Linked DNA regions of Canis lupus familiaris. The protein of the gene in region 1 purifies or fractionates together with the protein of each later gene. This does not show direct contact. Links are inferred from orthologs where the notes say so. Each region holds a gene or a part of one and is shown in the gene's direction. Other genes may lie near its edges. The genes, in order: EIF4B, EIF3B and EIF3A.

The links.
Region 2: the proteins of EIF4B (region 1) and EIF3B purify together in Homo sapiens (affinity purification with mass spectrometry; 3 studies listed by BioGRID and IntAct, with this or other methods). This does not show direct contact. The link is inferred for Canis lupus familiaris from reciprocal best matches to the Homo sapiens genes EIF4B and EIF3B.
Region 3: the proteins of EIF4B (region 1) and EIF3A purify together in Homo sapiens (co-immunoprecipitation; 3 studies listed by BioGRID and IntAct, with this or other methods). This does not show direct contact. The link is inferred for Canis lupus familiaris from reciprocal best matches to the Homo sapiens genes EIF4B and EIF3A.

What each region holds. Positions count from the first base shown.
Region 1 is NC_049248.1:44,524,610-44,528,257, forward strand, and holds part of EIF4B (eukaryotic translation initiation factor 4B), read left to right. Parts: intron 1-867; coding exon 868-1,096; intron 1,097-2,164; coding exon 2,165-2,277; intron 2,278-3,648. UniProt on the Homo sapiens protein: Required for the binding of mRNA to ribosomes. Functions in close association with EIF4-F and EIF4-A. Binds near the 5'-terminal cap of mRNA in presence of EIF-4F and ATP.
Region 2 is NC_049227.1:14,923,759-14,926,940, reverse strand, and holds the end of EIF3B (eukaryotic translation initiation factor 3 subunit B), read left to right. Parts: intron 1-138; coding exon 139-247; intron 248-494; coding exon 495-598; 3' UTR 599-611; intron 612-919; exon of another isoform or gene 920-1,022; intron 1,023-1,240; 3' UTR 1,241-2,585; downstream 2,586-3,182.
Region 3 is NC_049249.1:29,623,153-29,627,381, reverse strand, and holds the start of EIF3A (eukaryotic translation initiation factor 3 subunit A), read left to right. Parts: upstream 1-1,354; 5' UTR 1,355-1,511; coding exon 1,512-1,560; intron 1,561-4,229. Other genes in the region: DENND10 (DENN domain-containing protein 10), read right to left, coding at 836-1,001. UniProt on the Homo sapiens protein: RNA-binding component of the eukaryotic translation initiation factor 3 (eIF-3) complex, which is required for several steps in the initiation of protein synthesis.

The sequences.
Region 1 (3,648 bases):
GGAAAGATAATCAGGAGCCTTCAGTGGACTTTTCGAGTGTTTTATTACTTAAGCCAGTGGTTGGTATACGTAAGCTTTATCTTTTGTATGTTTGAAATTATTTAGGATAAACACTAATTTTGAGAAATACAATTCCCTTGAAACACTAAGGTTTGTCTTAAAATATTCTGACAGTTTGGATCCAAGGAGAAATCAAATTCCTTTAGAGTTTATATTTAGCCATTTGGTACTGTATGCTTTGCTCCATGAATCATTATGAGATTTAGATTCCACACAGAGCCAAGAGTATAGGAAGTAGAGTCTTTCCCGTTGTATTGTCACAAGCTCTTCTCAGCCTCCTGAAGTAGTTCATCTTCCAGACCACGTTTTTTACCAAGATACTTGCATCCAGTAGTTTATCATAGTTGACCATTTCTTCCTAGTAATAGTAGCTGTGATGACTCACCATGTAAGTCCTCAGTGTGTAGCACAGCCTCATGGGTGGCGTAGTGGGAAGATTGATTGTCCTTGGTTGTTTAAACCACCCATTTATTTTCTAATGCTCTCCCTTCTCTACTGGATTGGCTAGGCTGCTACTCTCCCGTGTGGCATTTTCTTTTCTTTTAAGATTTTTATTTACTTGCTTATTCGTGAGAGACACAGGGAGAGGGGGAGAGACATAGGTAGAGAGAAGCAGACTCCTCGCGGGCATCCTGATGTAGGACTTGACCCCAGGACCATGGGATCACAACCTGTGCCAAAGATAGATGCTCAACCACATGTCCCCCCATGTGGCATTTTCTAAGAGCTGTGTCTGGGCATCTGACTTTTGGCCATCAGCTTCTGAGGATTTTGAAAAACTGTTACTTAGAGTTTTATTTAACTTAGGTCCCCCCCAAAGACCCAAACTGAATCTAAAGCCTCGGAGTACTCCTAAGGAAGATGATTCCTCCGCTAGCACCTCCCAGTCCAGTCGAGCGGCCTCTATCTTTGGAGGGGCAAAGCCTGTTGACACAGCTGCTAGAGAGCGAGAAGTAGAAGAGCGGCTGCAGAAGGAGCAGGAGAAGCTGCAGCGCCAGCTGGATGAGCCAAAACTAGAGCGACGGCCTCGAGAGAGGTGAGGCTCTCTTCAGTTACGGATCTCTGATCTGGGAACGAATTGCTTCCTGAAGGACGGGTGTGGTACACATCCCAGGGCACATCTGGGAAATTCATGCAGGCGTTATTAGTTGTCACTTAATAGCATCTAGTGTACACAGGCTGGGGCCAGTAGGTGCGCTGCAGTATATGGGACAGTTGAACCCTATGAAGAGTTAGTTGCCTGCCGGCCCTCGTGGCTTTTAAAGGGGCTTAACTGGGCTTAACTTCTGACAACTATAAATTGATGATCGATTAATAGAGGAGTAGGCAAATTACGGCCTATTCCTCCCCCCGCCCCAAATCCATTTATTTGAGAAAGAGCACAGAGAGAAGCGGACTGCTGAGCGGGGAGCCCGATGCGGGGCTCCATCCCAGGACCCTGGGATCACGACCTGAGCCGAAGACAGACATTTAACCAACTGAGCCACCCAGGTGCCCCAGTGCTGTTCCATATTTTGTAAATAAAATTTATCTGACCCATTAAAAAATTGACCAAATCTTGCTTTAGTATATGGGGTAAAGCCACCATTATGAGATGAGTGGAAGTGCCTCTATTCGAGTTGCTGGAATAAAGAGAAAATGTTTTTACTTCTATAAAACATAAACTATATATAAATTATTTTACATTTATTTTTACTCGTGTGTTATGTCAGGTATATTATTTAAGGATATTTCAGGATGGTAAAGGAGTCGGTAGTGAAGTGTTTGTTATTAAAAAGTGGCATTGGATCTAATGGGGTAGAAACCTGTAAAATGGCCTAGTTTTAAATGGCTTTTAGAGTTGTGTTACCAGTAAGGGAGGGCTGTAGGTTAGGTAGGAGAATATTCTTCATTCTAGTTGAAGCTTCAAGTGTTTAGAGCCAAAGTGTATTTATCTTTGTAGCTTTCAAATGGTTTGAGAGAAACAAGATGTGCACACCCACCCACAAATACAGCAAGCCTGATGAGTATGAAGTGATGGTTCTTGAGGGGTCAGCATGGGTCCAAAGTGGCCTTCAGTGAGCTGGACATAAGTTGTTTTCTTTTTTTTAATCTCTTTGTACAGACACCCAAGCTGGCGAAGTGAAGAGACTCAGGAACGGGAACGGTCCAGGACAGGAAGTGAGTCATCACAGACTGGGACCTCGGCCACAACTGGCAGAAGTAAGTCAGACCAGGGTGGGTATCACGTGTTATTGCCTCTTTCCATAAATGAGCCATAACCAAATTATGCAGTCACTGTGGGGTATTAAACTCAGTCATGGGGGCTTTATTTCGGTTAGCATAGGTTGAGCAGAATATTACATCTAGTCTGAAAAATCTAAGAAAATGGCATCAGAAGAGACTTGGGCGACCTGTTTAATGATCTTCTACTAAAGAGTATACTTGACTGTTAGATTTGTCCCTTCTTTTTGTTTTGACATTCCAGAATTTTCCTTTATTTAGAGCAGTCACAGTCCTACAGCTCTCTTGCCAGCCTTTTTGGATGTCCTGTACGACCAGAGCAATGTCTGGAGCGATGATCTTCTACTCTTGATCTTTCTTTCCTTCCTTCCTTCCTTGAATTTATCGATTGGTCACAAACATCTTTAGTGTTTTGGAAACTGAACTATTAAATCATAACATCTCTCTTCCCTTATTGCGAACCAGTGTTTTGTTTTTTAAGTTTCTTCCTCCCACCTCTAAGTTGATTTGTACTTGAGCATTTCAAAGCGTGGCTCCAGACTGAGATGATTTGGAAGTTCATCCAAGTGTTGTAGAAGTTTTCTGGAAATTATTCATACTGGAGTAGCTACCCTTTTAGTAACAGGAAGGTAATGTCTGTTTGTGACTAGGTGGAAGTGTGATGGTTGGATTGATACCTCCTGAGGAGGCTGCACTTAAAACGTAGAAAGAATCTGACAAAATAAACATTTAGTTGGTTTTCTGGTTTTGTTTTGTTTTTTTGCTTTTTTAAGATTTTATTTATTCATGAGACAAAGGCAGAGACAGGCAGAGGGAGAAGCAGGCTCCATGCAGGGATCCCGATGTGGGACTCGATCCCGGGACTCCAGGATCACACCCTGAGCCAGAGGCAAACGCTCAACCACTGAGCCACCCAGGCATCCCAAAACTTCTAGTTTTGAGAAGACATTTACTGCCCTTTAAAAAAAAAAAAAGATGGCCTGTTTTTCCTATATATCATATTGTGTGTGTGTGTGTGTGTGTGTGTGTGTGTGTGTGTGTGTGTGTGTGTTGAGCCTCCAACTTGGAGTTAACTCAGTGGATCCTGGGGTTTGAGATTTATCAGAGGTCCTCTTCACACACATATACATATTCTCTGGTGTAGACATTTTTTTTTTTTAATTTTTATTTATTTATGATAGTCACACACAGAGAGAGAGAGAGATAGAGAGAGAGAGGCAGAGACATAGGCAGAGGGAGAAGCAGGCTCCATGCACCGGGAGCCCGACGTGGGATTCAATCCCGGGTCTCCAGGATCACGCCCTGGACCAAAGGCAGGAGCTAAACCGCTGTGCCACCCAGGGATCCCTGGTGTAGACATTTTAA
Region 2 (3,182 bases), on another chromosome or scaffold:
CAGTCCTGACCTGAAAGCCTCTGTGAATAGAGGGGTCCTCACGGCAGCCATTGCAGCAGGCATTACTGTTGGCCATGGCCCTCCCCGTGGTGGAGAGGGGCCTGTCATCCCCATGACTTTCCCCAACTCCGTGCTCAGGAACTGGTGGAGAGGAGACGCACCATGATGGAAGATTTCCGAAAATACCGGAAAATGGCCCAGGAGCTCTACATGGAGCAGAAGAGTGAACGTCTGGAATTGCGAGGAGGTAACTGTTAGCTGAGGATGTGCATAGTAGAATACGTCTCTGTGAAAATGTGTTTCTCCCCTGTTATGTGAGTTTTCCAGTTAAGTGTCATAAAGACCCTTAAATTGTCAGAGCACAGAGTTTCCCATGGTTGCAGGTTCACGCCCACGGGGCACCTTACTGTGATCACTCTGGGCTCTCAGCTGACGAGGGTGGGTGGGTGTGCATGTGTGTGCACACACCCCATTACCTCCTCCCCTACTTGCAGGCGTGGACACCGACGAGCTGGACAGCAACGTGGAGGACTGGGAAGAGGAGACCATCGAGTTCTTCGTCACTGAGGAGATCATCCCCCTGGGAAATCAGGAGTGACCTAAGCACAGGGGTAAGGCCTCTTCAGACAGGGATGAGCAGTACCCTAGTGGGTATTCTCTCTCCCCTGTTGTGTTGTCCCTTGAGTGAGGAAACCCCCAGATTCATGGCATTGGGGTCCATATGACCCTTGTGTGGGAGTCACAGAGGGTCCGGTGCACACCCAGGCTGTCAGAGCTGGAGCTTTTCTCCGAAAGTAGCAAAGCACCTAGCAAGTGGGGTTTGAGTGTGGCTAAGACACAGGGCTGGGGGGAGGACGGAGGCTGGCTGCGAACCATCTCTGGGCATTTGGCTGTGAGAGGGCCTTGGTGTGCCCAGCAGAGACGAGAGCCTTCAGAAGCCAGTCCGGCAAGGCTGGGCACTCACACTTCTCAGTAAGCGCTCGAGGAGGACCCAGAGCCATCGTGCCCAGGGCGGCCAGCGGGTGAGCATGACAGCTCCTCAGATAAACTATCTGCTGTTGAGGCTGCTCCCCCGGGGCGTCTGCTCCTATTCACCTTGGGCATCAGGTTGAAGCAGAGCTTGGGGTTTTCTTTTGCCTTCTGAGATGGTCTGGGGGCATCATCGGCGGTCGTTGTTGCTAACATGCCTCCTGTTGTCAAGGCATGGAGCAGAGACTGAACACTTGCTTCCTTTTTGCAGTGTCCCCACGTCTTGTGCTGGAACCAGGTTGTCCTGCGAGAAGCCTGCACAATGCCTGAATTCTCACCTGTGCTTTTTCTTGCTCTAGACTGTGCTCCCGGACTCCCCCATCTTCCACACATTACTGTGCCTTTAACCCCTGGTCTCCACCGCAGGGGAGGATGGAAGGCACTACTTTAAATTTTTTCTTGTTTGGGGTTTTTAAAATCACGCCACCAGTGTTTGTTACTCACACTCTCGTGCACTGCCACAGTGGCCCCTCGGCCTCCTGAAGTGCACAGCCGAGCCGTCTCCCCTCAAGGACTTGTCTGTCCCGTGTGCGTGGGCCAGTGTGGCTGTGTCCAGGACGCAACAGGGAGGCAGCACTCCACAGTGTCCTGGTGCCATTCAGGTTGTGCCAGGTTCTCTCAACGGGCTGAGTGTGGAAATAAAAGCAAACCTGTATGAAAACACTGTCTTTCTCCTCTCTTTAAACGTAGATAGCGGCCTTGAATCTGGTGCCTGTAGTCCCTGCCCTGACCATGGCGGCCCTCAGGGCTCAGCACACCCGCCTGCTGCTTGCCCACGAGGCTGACCTGGTAAGGAGGGAGGCCTCCAGCCTTGCGTAAGGTCATGCATTTTCAGCTGAGCACAGTCCCATCAGTGCAAAAAAAAAATACTCTGTTTTTGTTTTCCATGCTCTTTTCACCTGGTGAGAAAAATCCCTCTAGACTTTTTCTTGGAGTCCTACACGTTTAAAGTCTATGAGAATTGTCACTTTAGCCACTGTCACGTGGTCCTCTGAATATTTAACTTTATTCTGAAAAGAGGGTTGAACGAGTCAATGTAACCTGAACCTCTGCTTCCCATTGGTGCCTCATGAAGTTTCTGCTGCTCCACTTCTGTCTCCGGGAGCCTGACTCTTCGTCTGGGAAGCAGCAGAGCATAGGACGGGCACACCACATTTACCAGCCAGGGCTCGCATGAGCCTGAAGTGTTGTGGGATTGGAGGGGCCTGGCAGTCCCTGCCCCATAGGGCTGTGCTGGAGGAGCAGGCAGGCGGTCTGCTGTGGCCTGGGCCCGGCCATGAGGCACACTTGGCACTCCAGCCCCTGTTCAGTCATTGCTGTCCTGATGCCCCATTGGTGTGTGGGGTCCACTGTGTGTGTGTGTGTGTGTGTGCTCATGTCCTTTAAACCTCATCGTGCCAAGACCTAGGTTTTACATTTGATGGTAAGAGGAGGGTACAGGCTTTGGTCATTCTCACACATTTTTAACAGAGTTTTCAAAAAATTTACTTTTGATTGTTTTAAACTTGCTAGTTGTAATTGTTTTACATAATTTGTTAATAAAAGGATTTCTGAAATGCTTGTGCTTGTTCTGTTCTGTAGAAATGAATTTCCCGGGCAGAGAGATGGCCTGACCCATCTTGCGGGGCTGGGCTGGGGTGGCCCCTGCACTCTGGCTCCTCTGGCTGGGGCATTGGGGTGGGCACAGTTCCCGGCTCCCTGTGTGGGCCTGCCATCCTGGTCCTGTCTCTAGAGGCTGGCAGGACTTGTAGGTGTTTGCTCTTGTGTGGAAAGCAGATCCTTGGGCTCCTTTGGCAGCCTCCTGTGAGTCAGCCCAGAGCCTTTGTGGAAGGGTGATATGGACATTAGGTGGGAGGATCTCGTCTGTCCCCTTGCCTCAGTGATGGAGTGGGGACGTCATATAGAGCTAGCATTGACCTGATGTCCATAAGAGCACAGGAGCAGGCTGGGACAGCCATGGCGACTTGGAGGGAGTCACCTGAGCTCAGGCCTGGTGCCTGCCTCTGGACTGGCCTCTGTGGGCCTTCTAGCTCAATGCTGCAATCTCCCAAGTTGGAATTCTTGGGTTTGAACTTACCGTATTGTCAGACTGACCGCCATGTCTTTAATCAAATGTAGGAGCAGCGTGTGCACTGTTCTGGCTCTCCTAAGGC
Region 3 (4,229 bases), on another chromosome or scaffold:
ATTTTTAAACAACCTTTTTTTTTTTTTTTAATTTCTAGAATTTGAGATGTATTTTGTTTTTTTTGTTTTTTTTTTAAAGATTTTATTTTTTATTTTTTTTTTAATTTTTATTTATTTATGATAGTCACACACAGAGAGAGAGAGAGAGGCAGAGACACAGGCAGAGGGAGAAGCAGGCTCCATGCACCGGGAGCCCGACGTGGGATTCGATCCCGCGTCTCCAGGATCGCGCCCTGGGCCAAAGGCAGGCGCTAAACCGCTGCGCCACCCAGGGATCCCTTGAGATGTATTTTGTATCTGTGTCTCCATGTCTCGAGTTTCCTTTCTTTTTTGGTGATAGATCTAAATAGAAAAACCTCTTTGCTGAGGCCTAAAGAACGAGGGGAAGATGCTTTTCGCGTGTGTGGACTGTGGGTTCCTTGTCCCCTCGTAGAGAACTCTGCCGTTCGTTCTCATGTCCCATCCATTACTACAAAATGGGTAAAAAATTTGCAACAATTTATTCCATTGACGCTTTCTTAATTTTTCTCCTGAACCCGCCTTAATTTCATAGGGCTTGAGTTAACTAAGATTCAGTTCAAATGGCTTTCAAGTTCTGGGTGTTAATAGTTAATGATCGAACATTAATTAAGATTGTTGATCAGTAACAAAGGGCTGTAGCAAAGGGCCTGAGAAATTGATCCCTCCTACCCCCCCAGGAACACTCATCATTATTATTTTTATGTTCAGCATAACGTGAAGGCGACAACACTCCCATGTATCTTCCAACATGACGCACAGCCAGATTACCGTCCCCAGTTCGTCCCCATCTTTCAGGTCTCAGCTCAAAACTCACCTTCTCCGAGGGTCCCCATTCCCCAGGCAACCTTTGTGTCAGCGACTTTTTTTATTTCGCCCATAGGAAACAAGCTCACTGATTTATCTACTGCGTCCCTCCTGCCCCCGGGGGGCCGTCGAGGGCTGCTCACTACTAGGCCGCCGCGGCGCGCTGCATTTCCCATAAACGGACGGACCAGGCATTCTCGCGCAGCTCAGCTCGTTCCCGGGGCGGGTGGGACCCGACTGCAACTTTGCATGACTGCGCACAAAGCAGGTCCCAAACCGGTGCAGACGCCTTCCTCCTCGCCAGGCAGAGCCTCCGACCCACACCTCACGTTTCCCAGCTCGATTCTCGCTCGAGGAGCGAGGGGCCTGAGAACCTGCCCCGCAACGTGCCCGCCCCGCACGGAGGGCGCCCGCCGCCGCCGCCGCCGCCGCCGCCACGTCAGCCGGCGCGCGCGACCACAGCGCGCCTGCGCGCGCAGGACCGCCCCCTACATCCGGGGCTTGGGCGGCGGCGGCGCCGCCGTGCGGGGGTCACGTGGCTCCTTCCTTTCCGTCTCTGGCCGGCTGGGCGCGGGCGACTGCTGGCGAGGCGCGTGGAGCCTCGCGCTGGTTCCCCTTCGTCTCCCCTCCCGGCCCGGGCCACTAAGGAGTTCGCTGACGCCGGGTGAGCCGAGCCTGCCGCCAAGATGCCGGCCTATTTCCAGAGGCCGGAAAATGCCCTCAAACGCGCCAACGGTGAGTCGGGAATCGGGGCGCGCCGGGCTGGGTCGGCCCGAGGCGCCTCGGAGGTCGAGGGACCCGGGCCTGCGTCTCGCCGCTCTGCTGCTCGGCTGCGGCCCGAGAGGTCGATGCGACCTGCCCGCCGCCGCCCCGGCCCGTGGTGGGCACGGTCTGCCTTCTCGCTCCGACCGACCGACCGGGGCGGGTGGGAGGCGCGGACCCGGGAACCGTCGCGGGGGGGGGGGGGGCTCTTCCTCCCCCCGCCCCCCCCCCGCCGCCTCCTGGTGCGTCTCGCGGGCCGCGGCCCCAAGACGGGCTTCCGAGGCCCGAGTTCCTTTGCCCCGCTTCTCCGCCTCCGCCCCGCGCCCCAGGCCGCCGGGCCCTCGGCTGCTGAGGCCCCGCGCCCCCAGCCGCCATCTGGGAGTGCCGGGGAGGAAGAAACATGGCTCCCTCCCGGGGACAATGCACGCGAGAACCTCGACTCCACCTCCTGCCGGCGCCGGGAGCCGGGCAGTCCCACCCCCGGCCCTCCCGCGGGCACCTCCGCCCCCCAAATCCAGCGCCGGGCTTTGCTGGGTCAGGGTCCACTCACCCTTTCCCCCAGTCCCCGGAGCTCTGCCGCGGAGACACTGACCCATTTAACCTGTTATCTGCTCTTCCTGGCATTGACTATCGGCCGCCCCGAAGCCTATTCTAAGCCGCATGAAGTTGGAACAGAGTTAATACCGTGAGAGAGAGACTTCAAGTTCTCTCTTAAAGATAACGAAATTGAAGCCTGGAGAGAGAGAGAGAGAGAGAGAGAATGTTTACCCAAGGTCACTCTGGGAGTTAGTAGTTGAGCCAGGAGACTGGAACCGAGGTCTCTAGACTTGCAGATCAGTCGTCTTCCCCCCCCCCCCCCCCCCCCCCCTCGCTGCAGCGGCTACTGCCTGCGATTTTTATTTCCATGTGGGTTAAAGCCACAGGCCCTTTAGGGAAAACTTGTGCCTGTGCGGGTCTGTTCAAGAGGCATTTATTACGTTGGCATTATGGGGCTGCAAATGTATCATGCATTGCTCTGGTCTTAAAAAAAAAAACAAAAAAAACTTTCGTTTAGAGTTTTTTAAGCCCAACAATTTCTAAGTGTGTAGAGCGTCCATAGCTCTTATTTTCACCTTCCTCTACCTAAACAAGCTTTGGGTCTTAACCCATGCTGTAGGTTGTTACACTGTGTCTCTTAGAATTTTATGTTTATGAAGTTCTATTTGTTGACTTGTTTGAAAAATTCCTCTTGGGAAAAATTGGCCAATTTCAGTCAATACATAAAATGAATACTCCTGATAACCTATCAGGACTAAAGGTTACTTAAAAAAATTTTTTTAATAACGTGTCTGCTATTTTAAAAGTAGCAATTTGGGGGTTAAGAGTGTGAAATTGGGTAATTCCATATTATTTGGATTCGAGTACAGCATCTGTCTTAAAATCATTTAAAACTACAACTTAGATCTGATGGCTAGTCATTTTAACCAGTGATCTAATAGTTAAAATAGGCAAGAATTAAGGACGTTAATTTCTAGGAAAGAAAATAGATTGAAGTGGAAATTCATCACTACAAAATGAACTGTAGTAAAGTTAATTTTTTTTCTTATGTTTAGAAACTTACGGTATATAGAGTGACTTGGATTCAGTTACTGTTCTAATTGCTATTGTAGATCTGCTTTACAGTCATTTGCTTTACTGACAAGTGTCTTTCCCATGCTAATAGGCTGAAGCACTGAAATTTTCATGGCCTAAATACTACACTTTTGATGTGTTCAGGCCTTGTTTCTTTCATCACTCCTCCCTCTGAATGGTCATATAAGCTTAGTATGTCAGTAATTTTTTTAAATTAGAAGGGTTTTTGGATGTGTAACATCTTAAATCTTTTTTCACATTTTCTAACTTGGGAGAAAGCATCTGAAATGAAAGTAGGCAACGTGAGCAAGGGGCACCCTGGCGGGGGTTGTGTCGGTTTTTTAAAAGGCTGTACTGACTCCTTGCTGCAGTCCTTTTAAAATGTAGGTTGGGTGTTTCTGTAGTAGAGGGCTTAGCATTCAACTAGTAATTTCTGTACCTTTGATCTTGTGAATGAGATTCTGTCTGTAAGTGTTAAAAGTGAGCAGAATGTGGATGACACACGGCACTGCTTACAAAACTAGGATTATAAAAGCATATTCCATTCGATAGAGATAATCTCATTTTATGTCAACATTTTATCTATACCATTTGTAGCATCAAACACATTTAGAATTAATCCATTGCATTGTCTTAATAAAATGTGAGTAAATTTAAGTTGAATAGTTCTCCAGGTAACTCTGAATCTGTAATTCAGAACAATATTTTTGGAGACGATTATAGTAATCATTCAGGAAGATGAGAACTTGGCCCAGCAGTTAGAGGCAAGAAATTCATACACTGAAATCATTTGGAAAAAGCCCCAGATTATGTTGTTAGTTCTTTGGAATTCATTGCTCCTGATCTTGTAACAGCCTTTTAATTTTGATTCTACTAGTGTTTTATCAAGTTGTTTAAACTCACAAATTGTGTAACACTGTAGCTTATCTACTTGGTCTGTTGTACAAGTAAGCTAGTAATATTGAAGGACAGACCTAAATTTTTTCGATACAGTTTGCCTTTGTGTCTGAAAGGAAAACTCAGAATGCCCA